2 linked regions of the Arabidopsis thaliana genome follow. The protein of the gene in region 1 interacts with the protein of each later gene in a biochemical or structural test. Each region holds a gene or a part of one and is shown on either strand. Other genes may lie near its edges. The genes, in order: ECT1 and CIPK1.

Region 1 (5,267 bases):
TTGATAACCATTTTATTCATTCCTGAAACATTATAAACAGAAGAACTCAGTTCTAATCCGAATCTGAATCCCTAGAAAAAGACTTCACCTTTACAGTAACAGATCAAGCTTGCTTAAACTATACACAAGCGAGATCCTACTTACAACACTCAAGTAAAAGTAAAACGAAACGGAGAAAACGAGATTCATCATTTCAGTATTAGATCAAATCCCAATCAGAGAAACATTACGAACCATTGGGACCGAGAGAGGTGCGAGTAATGGTGGAGAGCTCCTTGCAAGCTTCAATGTTCTTAATGACGGCTTCGTCGAGACCAGAGAGATGCCTGTAACCTTCTTTAAGCATCGATTGAATACCATATGGCTGCATCGACATACCCACCATTTTCTAAGGTAACGATCTATAAGCTTCGAAGTTGGGTCACTCGAAACAATAGAGCAAAAACCCTAAAAGCGAAGAAGAAGAAGCTCTGTGAGATTTTCGAAGAAGTTTAGAGAGAAGGTTTTCTGTGAGTAAAAGTGGCCGAGATTGCCCTAGAAAACTTTCGAGGTTTTAAAATGGGAGTTCACAACGGTGTCGTTTTAAATTTTAAGGGGATGGGGGCCAAAAATTGAGATCTTAAATCTTTAGGGGTGAAAGTTGTATTATATGAAAGTTTAGGGACGAATAGAGAACACCATTCCTTCTGGTTTTTGTGCTAAACGGTGTCGTTTTAACTTTTATGGTGATGTGGGCCAAAATGTGAGATTTTTGACATTTACGGATGAGAGTCTTATTATATGAAAGTTTAGGGACTAAAAGAGAAATAACTTGAAAATAACATGATATGAACTTTGAAGGAAAGCCTGAGTTTTTGTTTTATCAGATGTGCGTCCCCTTAAGAGGAACAAAAGACAATGTAAGTTTTGTTTAGATAAGCAGAGAAAACACACAGATTAAAGATGTGTATTAGGTTTTTAGAAATCCCAACCCTGAAGAAAAAACATAATTCAAAACTAAGTTCTTTTAATTAAGTCATCTTCTTCTTTCCTTGCATTGATTCCATCTTTCAACTCAAGTTAATTGTTTCCCCCGAAGCTCCATCAAGGGCCTAATATAACAAAACAATCAAAATGAAACAATCCCAGAGACTGTATCAAGAGGGGTGGTTAATGTGCTTTAGATGCAGCAGGGTTTAAGGAATTGTACCTGTTTCTTTTGCTTGATCTTCTTGTCTCTGATGATCTTCTGCCTTGTCTCATAGAACTTGTAATCATCAAGTATACATGTCTTGCTCATATACTCCTTGAAGATCTTTATGATCTTGGTCCCATGCTCCAGATTCACCTGTACCAAAACCATCACCGTACAGTTTAAAAGCCTGACTAACAGCCATAATCATTATTTATTAGAATTCAATTAGGCTTCAAACATGTCCAAGAAAGGGTTTAGGGGAAGTTCAACGGACCTCTTGAGTGTCTCTGCTATTAGTGACAGGCTTGTTCTCGTTATTCGCCAGGGTAATGTGTCTTAAGAGACTGTTTGGTATGTCTTTGATGATATGCCACTTCACAGGGAAACAACCAATCCATTTATCTTGCTGCCAATACTCCATTGTCTTGTTGAAATCAACAGGGCCTACCATCTCCGCAAGACCAACAAATTGCCCACTTGCATTCACCTGTAGATAAAACCGATTACAGTGAGTTACTTAATGTAAATCTGAAAGGATATTGCACAAGACGTGAAGTAACCTCATACTGACCGAGAACAGAAGATACACAGGGCATTCTTGGGAGTTTTCTTTGGCTTCATAATATGCAGCATTCAACTTCTTGTTGCCAGTTGGTGTGCTCGACCATGCACCATACTTAATACAGTTATGAACATCATCTTCGCTGTATGACTTGATCACAAAGAATTTTGCTTTCACAAATGATTCAGGGAAATTCTCCCCATTGTAGCGCTGGAGATCTACTGCTGAAACGTCTTGCTTCATTGCATCTAGCATTGAAGAGTTAAGAACTTGTGGATTCTTGAAATCACTACTCCTTGGTCCTCGACATAGCTCATTAAGCCTATCTGCTTTCTCATCACTGTAACCACGCCCATGATTGAAGCTTCTGGTCTTTCTATAACCATCAACGGGATACCATCCTCGCCCAAGTTTCCAGGAATCATAACCAAAAGTTCCATATGCATGACCAGAGTCAATTACATTCCCGTAAAGTCCATACAATCCATGGTTGGAATACAAATGATCATTATATCCCAATTGGTCAAAACTTGGTACTTCTTGTGAGCTGTGTGGATTCTGTTAAATAAAACAGTTGTAGCCAGTAATTAGACAAAAAAAAAATCCCAAGTCCCAGCAGAGATGACGAAGAGAACAAAACACACATTCTCTTGACTATATGAAGACAGAAAAGAGGCAGAGAGGTCATGTGAAGTAACCAACATACCATGAGATGTGAAAAGGAACTGTGATTGCTGTTGCGGTCATAACCAAACCTCGGATCAGGGTAGCCACCAGAAGGATAGTTTGCTGGGATGTAACCCCACGGGTATGAACCAATCGAGTCTCCACCATTTAGCAGATTGCCAGCATTCATGTTTGGCCTTCTTTCACTTCCATGAGAAGATGCACCATAAGGTGCATGACCATACGGATGCTGAAAAGAACCCTTCTCAGAAAACAGTCAGTTAACAAAAAAAAAACTCACAGTATATCAAATTCACATTAAATGAGCAGCAAGACCTCTCCACAGAACAGTTTGTAGTTAAAGATCCTTCGACACAACACAATTTAAGTTCCAAAAACTTTAAATTTTCAAAAAGAAGTAGTAATTAAGTACCTTAGTAAAGTTCATAGGAACTTCATTTGCATCTGAACCTAAAGACAAGTCCTGAAACAAATCTGCTGTATCTGCAGCGATTATATACAAGAGCCCAGTTAATATTTTAAAATGACAAAGCCTCAAACTCCAATTGCACAGTCTAAACAAGGCAAATTACTGGTGAAATTCAACCCATAAGCAGATAAAAAAACACTAACTTGCAGAAAAACACAAAATTTCATCTAGCATCCCATAAAGAGGTTTGTAGAGAACTCTAGACACCAATCAATCCTATCAGAAACAGAAAACCTACGACAGATACTGATAACACTAGTCGCTAAACCCTAAACCCAAGGGTAGAAATCAATCGCAAGTTATAAGATGAGCACAAAATGATAACTTCCGATGCCAAAAAAGTTTTAATCTTTGAGCTAAAAGCAACGTACCCAGAAGAGGGAAGCTAGTGACGAGACGATCAGAAGAAGCGGCTCCAGCCATATCGAGAGAAGGCAAAAAAAAGGGATAAGCTTTAAGAGAAGGAAAACCCTAGAAGGTTGGGCAGATGAAAGCAAACGCAACCTCGAAAAACCCAGAGAGAGAGAGCGCTTTTGGTGTGTGGGGGGTTTTAGAAAGTTCCGTTCTTTTTTGTTTTCTTCGTCTTCCTTCCCCTTTAACGTAAGGCGGTGATCTTTAACAAAGAACAGAAATGCCCCCAAATGGGTCAAATTTACGAGGAATTCTAAGCGACAAATTTCGATTTTTTTGCTCCTTTAACCCAAAAAGATAAGGCTCCTCTTCTTAATGACGATTTTTCGTCACACGAGAAGATTCTGAAAATTTGACGTTGATTGCTTTTATTAGTGAGACCTCTTTTTCTTCTTAACTTAAAATCAATATAGCGAATCAGTAAAGCTTAACTACACTTTTAGGACTTTTGCTTAAGAGAAATTATCATGAATTCCATTTGTTTAGGAAGTACTAACCATGGTGATGTTTGTTAATTGTAACATACACATACAAAAGGAGTGGTGGTTGGGATATATTAAAACTTTGCTAATCATTCGCGAGAAATTTACAAATATGGTTTTCATATTGACAACATTAAAATATGAAAATCCGTTAATTTTGAATTCAACTCAAGAAAACTTTTACAAATTTTAGGCCAAAAATTATATATAAAATGATCGGTCGCAAACATGGGTTTTCTTGGCTAGGACAAAAAATTGAGTGTGTATGTGATTAGACTCCGTAAGCTAATCAACACACCATATCTATCGGTATCGCATCTAAAATTATTCCTTCATTGCACATATGTAAAAGGGATGATGCTTCATAAACGAGTCTTAGATGGCTTCAAAGATGATTCCAAGGGGATACGAACCTTATGTTAGGCATCGATCCATAATTTTGCTTCTTACCTAAACTTCTATAAAAAAAGAAAGGTAGGCCTTGAACTGGTGATATATTTTAATTTCTGTGGATTTTCTAACATAAGTAGGTGTATGAGAAAAATAAAATCTTAGGTTGATTTGTGGGGTTACTAGTATTGTGGTCTCACATACAACAAAAATAGTAGACAAATTCAAGTCATGTTTAAAATAATAATTAATTCAAATTATTTATGGTGAATTGGAAAACGTTTTTTAAATTTTTATATAAATAAACTCAAAATCTTTAGAGTTTGGTTTCTGCTATGTATAGCTTTTCAAAAGTTATTTAACTTGTGCTCGTGATGGATTCTCAAATATAAATAGCATTAAATTATTTTTGGCAAACATCACATGGAGTTGCACAAAACTGATCAATATGTTTATCCTTTGTCTCACATGTTCTCTCATTCATTAGTTGTATGAGGCGGTAAGGACAACATCATCCTCAAGGCCGGAAAAAACTCAAAAACATTCCCAACAACTTAATTCCACATACAGTATATGCACCATTAAATTGGTGTTAGATGCAACAATTTTATTTTTGCAACCAGATTTTTAACCACTTTAAAAACACTCACTAGAGAAGAAATATATATAAGATATTAAGTAAACACATGATAACTTTGAAGTCTTTCTATGCCATCTCACTCGACTGATATTAGAGTTAAATATATTTATTCTAAGCATGTTTTAAATAATTTGATTGCCTAGAATTTATAGCCAAACAATATGAAATGTACTTGAATCTTACGTTTTTTTTTTAATAATCACTTGACATATTAATTCCAAATCATTGACTTCTAATACAAATATACAAAGCCATTATGCATACAGCGCGATGTGCTTCACCGATCTCCATGAATTAATGGATTTTGTGACATACGATTTGTTGTCAACAAAAAGAAACAAGTTCCTCTTTCTTTTTTTTCATTGTTTCAAAACAAATCGAGTGAAAATTTATGTGATAAATGTGCTTACACGTATGACATAACAAAGCATTTTCTTAATTAAGTTTTCTTC
Region 2 (6,787 bases), 5.0 Mb from region 1:
CAGTGGAGCAAATTCTTTACGGTAGATGTAGACATTGGTGGTCGTGCTATGTTATCGTATGACAGTTTCTTCATCGACAAGGAGAAAGGAATGGCCTTGCTATGTGGGTTGTGAGACAAGTAACAGACTTGCGAGCAAGAACCTTGTATACATTGTTGGGGAGGACCGTGAATACACAGAAATCCATTTTGGCGAATGGCCTAAGTTCATTCCTTTTATGAACTCATGTGAGCCGTTTTATTTTCAATTATGTTCCAAGTTTGGTTCAGTATTAGTCGATACAGGTAAGGACGTAATTTCTTCAATCTCCTTTTTTTGTTTATTCGTTTTTGCGTTTTTGTAGTAAAATCGTTTGATTAATCTATGACTAGATATATTATTTTGATTCCTGGCTTATTTGCACTACATTCAAGTTCCAACTAAAACAAGAACAAGTTGTGAATTTGACTAACTTTAAAACTACAATTGTTACATTCCAGGACGCTAAATGTTGATAGGTCACATGACTCATGACTCTTGAGAGTATTTTATGAGACGAAAGCAACATAGCATAATACTAAAAATTTATATACGTAGATCGGTTGGTGCGGAATTGAATGATGTACAGATACAAACTAAACACATGTATATTATTTACAAAAATAATGAAGAGATTTTTTATGGGATCTTTTTTGCTAGTAGGCAGATTTGCCACACCAAATAATAATAAAAACAAATACAAAGGTAGTGAATAAAATCTCTAATTCTTGAGGAAAGATCTACGCCACGGTTTATACTTAAATGCAATTACTATTTGCACTAATCATATAAATCGAGCTCCTTTTATATATACTTAAGATAATAAATTATATGAACATGGATGGTGTGTTCCATATGATAAATTATTAGAGCTATGTATATCTCTTCAGCCGAAAACACCAACACCTAAGTTACTATCTCTTGCTCCGGCGAGGATGTGCCCACGTCTTTTAATAGTCTCTCGTACAACTGCACCAACCCCAATATCAAACATAAACATTTTTATCTTTGATATGTGTTTCTTCAGTCTAATTAAGAAATGACAATAGTGGCATACCTGTCTATATAAACATGAATCGCCATAAGATTTTCTTAGCTCAACCACGTTCAGTGACGGCTTTATCTCGAAAACCTGATATCATAAGAATTTCTTCTATTAGTCAAATAATCTCACTAAATAGTCTATTGAACAGTGAAATAATGTTTACGTAATAGTTAATATACCTCAGCTGTTACTGATAAACCAACTTGACCTTTCTGGTTTCTTTCTTCTTGTTTTACTCTTAACTGAAACAAAATACAGTTTAAAGTTTATAAACCTACAGATTTGAAATTCCAAGTTGCTAAGGAAGAGGAAGACCATGTTGTGAAGACCCACCTTGGCATGTTTCTTTTGTACACTGAATCCCATTTCTGTAACGGCTGTTTCGATTTTCTCCAGTAAATCTTTTGCTGAGCTATTTGAAGTGAATCTTATTCTCCTCTCTGATACATTCTGAGAAAGTAAAAGTATAACTCCTTTTTATTATACATTGGCTCAAGCAGAGAGCAGATCTTTGAAACAGAGTATTAGAAGATTAGTTACCTCTTGTTCAAAGAAACCGGACAGGTCAAGAAAGGAAGACATTCCGATTAACTGAAACGCATTGATGATGGTCGGTGAATCACTGCCCTTCCCTTCTTCTGATCCCTAGACCATTCAAAAGAGAGACAGAGAAATGAGGACATTGTACTTGACTCAAATGCAGTTGCGATAGAGAGTAAGGGTGGCAGATTCTTACGAGTTCTTGGATTGAGAAAGCATCATCGTCTGTGTCAACTTCTTCTTCGTCATCATCATCGGGAATTGAAGGAATGTACTCAAGTTTGAACCACTCGCTGGCTTTAATACCCACAACTGTGATCCTCGTGACTGGATTTGGATCAAGCATTCTCTTAATCATGGTTCTTGCACCCGGGGATAACCATCTTGGTATTGGTGGGTCTCCTTTACATATCTAGAAATCAAATCAATTATCAAGCTTATTTCTTCAAAATGTGTATTGAATTGGCATATATATAAGAAAAAATGAGGTTTACCTTCTGGTAAAGAACTGCAAGGTTTCTGTCGTCGAAAGGAAGACATCCGGTTAGAATCACATACAAGATTACACCACAGGACCATATGTCTGATGCTGCACCATCGTAGCCTCTGTTAGCTAAAACCTCAGGCGCAACGTAATTAGGACTTCCACAGGTTGTATGCAACAATCCGTCATCCTAAAATGCCAAAGAGAAAATTAGTTGTAACTCGAACGGATTCAACAATTATAATTCTGCTGTGATATGCTATGGTTTTAAGATGATATTTTCAAGTACCCTAAAATGCTGAGGCAGAGCACTGAGGCCAAAATCAGTGATCTTTATATGTCCCTTTGCATCAAGAAGAACATTCTCTAGCTGCAATATAGAAAAACATCAGTACACTATTCCATAAGGTTTCCATGGTTTGAAACACAGTGAGAGAATCACAGACCTTGAGATCCCTGTGGAAAACACCTTTGCTATGACAGTAGCTGATTCCATCGATAAGCTGCTGAAACATTTTTCTTCCATCAGTTTCTGTTAATTTTCCGTTGGAAACCTGAGAGTTATCATCAAAGTGTGAGTTTAGCAAAAATGACACTCGTCAAAAAAAGAAAAAAAATCTTTTTTGCTTTGAGCATAGAGGCTAGTAAGAGTCTTACAATTCTGTCGAACAATTCTCCTCCGGTAACAAGTTCCATTACCATATTAATTTTCGTTTTGCTAGCCAAGACCTGCATGATTACCATAAGGAAGAGGCCATTAGTTTCAAGGTAAAGGAACAGTGAGTTCTGAGGTAAGATGTTTCATGTTTGAGAATCCAAAAGATTAGTCACAAGAAAGAAAAAGAAACATTTAGAATTCGAATTGCATTCATATCCACAGATTACATAAAAAACACTTAGTTGTCCAAGACACGACAAAGTTAGTCACGAGCTTAAAAAGTGGACCACGTGTATCAAATAAGTGAAGATCCACAATGGTTGCTTAACCAAAAGTCACGATTAATCTCGTGTTAAATGGCAAAGAGGAAGAAGCAATCGAAATAATTAGAAGTCAACAATAAAACGCAAAGATACAGCAAGCAATGACCCATACAATAATCATCTGAAATAATACTATATGAATAAAATAAAATAAAAAGTAAAACTAAGCATAAGATCAAAGAGGGTCCACATGATAAAAAGCTTAAAAGGGTACTAAGATTAAGCAATTATATGATGATCAAGCGACATATCCTGCATTTTTCACGATAATTTTTTTTAGGACCCCACCTTTGAATTGAACAGGTCAGATTTGTGTTACCGGCCAAGCCACCATATCAAATAATGGAATAATTAACTTAATAATTATGTAAAATGATGCGGCTAATTGGCAACGTGAAAAACAAGCTAAATGAAACATGTTTGGGTACGAAACCAAATGACTTGTAAGAATATTCCTAAACAGTAAAAAAAAAGATCCAAAAAGCAAACAACAATTATCCAAGATTTGAGGTGTTTTTAATCCTCGTCAGCTCCATTTTGATAGATAAAGAAACAACAATGAAGAAATTAACTAAAAATAGTTTACTAAACCTAATCTAACAATCTAAAATGACGAATCAAAATTTGAATAACCATCCATAAGCAGGCAATAATTCGATCACTTTCTGTCATACTCAGGTATATACTAAATAAACAGAAACAAGCAAACAGAAGAATAATCAAAAATTGTTATACTAATTAAGCAATAAACCTTTTTACTTCCTAATCACAGAATCATTTCGATAATCCAAAGATGATTATACACAAAAATTTAAGATACGGACCTCATGTAATCTAACAATGTGGGGATGTTTCAACATTTTCAGAGTCCGGATCTCTCTTTTTATCTGCACAGATTCATAAGAATTGGATCTGTCAAATTACAAATTTAGTAAAAGAAGAGAAAAGAAAAAAATTAGAAATGATGATAGAGAGATGGGAACCTGTAAGGAGAAGTTGAGATCGGCGATACGAGACTTGTCGATGATTTTAACGGCGAAGGAATGACCGGAGACGGTATCTTTAGCGAATTTAACTTTACCGAAATTACCCTCGCCGAGCGTCCTCCCTAGCTCGTATTTCCCCAGACGCATTCCCTTCTCCGCCTTCTTCTCCTCCTCTTGCCTTCTCACCATCCAATCAATCTCCTATTTCAATTTATTTCCCAACAAATTAACAGACAACCAAATCGATTTCTCGCTTGAATCTTCCGATTAGATTACTATTAATTCCGTTATTGAAAGAGGGGAAGTAGATTATTGTAGCTGTGCAGGTATGTGTGTGAGGGAAGGAGATATATATATATATATATATATAGGTGTAGGTAAAGAGACGAGGAAGATTGGGAAGAAGAAGAAGAAGAGAAGAAAGTGCCGGTTGAAATTGAAGAGAGGACGCTACTTCTCTTTGTTTCCTCTTCTCTTCTTATTATATTCACTTCTTTTTATATATATATTCCTCGTTAACTATTTTTTTTTGGTTTTTGTTAGCCAGATTTTTATTGGATAACTAGAAACATATTAATCTTCACAAAAGAAAAAGATTAATCTAACAAACCATATAAGATTTGATATTATCGAAATAAGATTTTTTTAGTAGGGTACTTATCGAGATTTATTATTATTGGTCAAATAAAACTCCTATCAAATGAAATTATGTCTATGTTCATTATAAGGAGAAATTTAAAAAGGATCTTATTTCTGTCAACAATCAAAATATGGAAAATATACGCAAAGAGTATATTGATTTATCAGAATAATTCTATATATGATGTATATTGCGAATATGTGTGTATTTTATGTGTGTACTTGTATGCATCAATAGGCCCACGTCATTTGTTGCATTAGTTTTATGTTGAAATTAAATAATAATAGATGAAAAAATATATTCATAAGAACTTTTGGTTTAAAGTCAGAAAGAAACGCTACAAAAAGATTGGTGCTTGCAGTTTTATAGTTCTTGTTACTGGAGCAGTTTTGATTTGGCTTTCGGATTTTAGTTCTTAAATGTAGAAACAAACTTGTATACACATAAAAGTTCACAAGGAATCACATACTTTCCAAGTTTTCATGTTGGAGTTACTTAAAAGTTGAAGTCCAACTATGATTTCTTAAAGTTACAGTTTAGTTTTGTACCTTTGTTATAAAAGAGGAGATCAAAAGAGACCTAAACTTAAGATCAAGTTATATATACACACTACAACAAATTAAACAACGCGTTCATAACCCATTCGTTTCTATGGAAATTTTGAACTTATGACTTGGTTTCATAGACAGTAGGTCTTCATTGTCGTGGCATTTTCAGTTTAAGAGATAATTTGGTAATAAACCATTTATATACGTCGATATCGTGCATGAATTGATAATTAGATTTAAAACACTTTTTTACGATAGTGCTTTCGGTTTGGGGGGAAATAAACATGGTGCTTTCAGTTTTATATTGTTTCTGTCTTTGTAGACTAATAATATTAGTTGTAGACTTTTACAAATTTTTAATTCGCAATATAGGCAAGCGTTTAGAAACACAATCGTTAATGATACACTTAAAGTTAATATTTTTTAAAAAAAACTATGGTAATTTATACTATATTTCATGTCTCGTCCTTTGTCGGCTCACAATTAATTAAATCACATGGAACCATTCAATTTATATTTGTTTTTCTTATGCGGTTTGTGTATTTAATTAAAATAAATAAATTGTTTTTGAGAATCCAAAAGTTTCAATAAACCAGGGCCTGGGCACCAGGCTAATCTCTTGAATTTGGAAAACTCCATATTATATCTTTTTATTGGATACATAGATTATTGAAGAATGTAGTGGTTCTTAGCTCTCGTCAGTCGTCCCAACATATTTTTGGTAATGAAAAGGTCATATGTCACATGTTTCTCTACACATCTTTTTCCCAAGGTTTTTATTAAAATTTGTAGTTAGTAAATGATGTGGCTGAAATGAATAGATACTATATAGAAAAGGAGAAAAAACCAATAATTAAAATTATTCGAGTCTCTCAAACGTGTCAAAATGGCCGGTGATAGTATTGCTGCCGGCAGTGAGTAACATATTGATTGATCTATGTTATCAGAACCTCTCTCTCTCTCTCTTTTGTGTGTAGATGACTAGGTGTGTTATATATATAAATTTAAATAAATAAAAGAGTAACTCGTTCGTGGTTATATAAACTTTCTCAAGCAAATATTTTATACCACAATTTTCTCTTGTTATATTCTTTTGCTCGTGCTCTTTTAATGTTAAACTAAAGAGATATTAACCATTGATTAAGAAACATTAATATTAGCCTTTGATTCTACGTGTTACAACTCTAGCTTCCTATGTAGAGTCTCTCACTACATATACGAGCCCAATAACCCTAAAACATATTAATTAAAGAGATATTAACCCAAGATGGAACGAGAAATCATATGTACCAAATCAACAATGGTAATGGTAAACAATTAATGAAGTATTTAAAAGGAGAAGTTTTGTTTTTTCATAACAAATTTCGTGCCAAAACTCATGTTAATGCTCATAGCTAGCCAATAGATTGTCTGATTCTCATAACATTTAAGAATTGAAAACACATCTTAACTTCTACTTAGTTGTTTGGACATTGCAAATGGTGCGTAGTCAAAATATACATGAAAAATCGTCTTTAAACATCTACATGCATTAGTCTAATAATT

Evidence for each region.
Region 2: the proteins of ECT1 (region 1) and CIPK1 form a complex in vitro, tested with the Arabidopsis thaliana proteins (one study listed by BioGRID).

What each region holds. Positions count from the first base shown.
Region 1 is NC_003074.8:1,019,550-1,024,816, reverse strand, and holds ECT1 (evolutionarily conserved C-terminal region 1), read right to left. Parts: upstream 3,672-5,267; 5' UTR 3,316-3,671; coding exon 3,264-3,315; intron 2,907-3,263; coding exon 2,836-2,906; intron 2,665-2,835; coding exon 2,443-2,664; intron 2,295-2,442; coding exon 1,746-2,294; intron 1,662-1,745; coding exon 1,449-1,661; intron 1,328-1,448; coding exon 1,190-1,327; intron 1,092-1,189; coding exon 1,050-1,091; 3' UTR 802-1,049; downstream 1-801. Other genes in the region: AT3G03960 (TCP-1/cpn60 chaperonin family protein), read right to left, coding at 1-22, 235-385. UniProt on the Arabidopsis thaliana protein: Specifically recognizes and binds N6-methyladenosine (m6A)-containing RNAs, and regulates mRNA stability. M6A is a modification present at internal sites of mRNAs and some non-coding RNAs and plays a role in mRNA stability and processing.
Region 2 is NC_003074.8:5,988,385-5,995,171, forward strand, and holds CIPK1 (CBL-interacting protein kinase 1), read right to left. Parts: upstream 4,618-6,787; 5' UTR 4,244-4,617; coding exon 4,052-4,243; intron 3,956-4,051; coding exon 3,893-3,955; intron 3,695-3,892; exon of another isoform or gene 2,832-3,694; coding exon of another isoform or gene 2,817-2,831; coding exon 2,745-2,816; intron 2,642-2,744; coding exon 2,534-2,641; intron 2,458-2,533; coding exon 2,377-2,457; intron 2,278-2,376; coding exon 2,098-2,277; intron 2,016-2,097; coding exon 1,800-2,015; intron 1,709-1,799; coding exon 1,604-1,708; intron 1,514-1,603; coding exon 1,397-1,513; intron 1,306-1,396; coding exon 1,243-1,305; intron 1,151-1,242; coding exon 1,076-1,150; intron 988-1,075; coding exon 925-987; 3' UTR 540-924; downstream 1-539. Other genes in the region: AT3G17500 (F-box family protein), read left to right, coding at 1-114. UniProt on the Arabidopsis thaliana protein: CIPK serine-threonine protein kinases interact with CBL proteins. Binding of a CBL protein to the regulatory NAF domain of CIPK protein lead to the activation of the kinase in a calcium-dependent manner.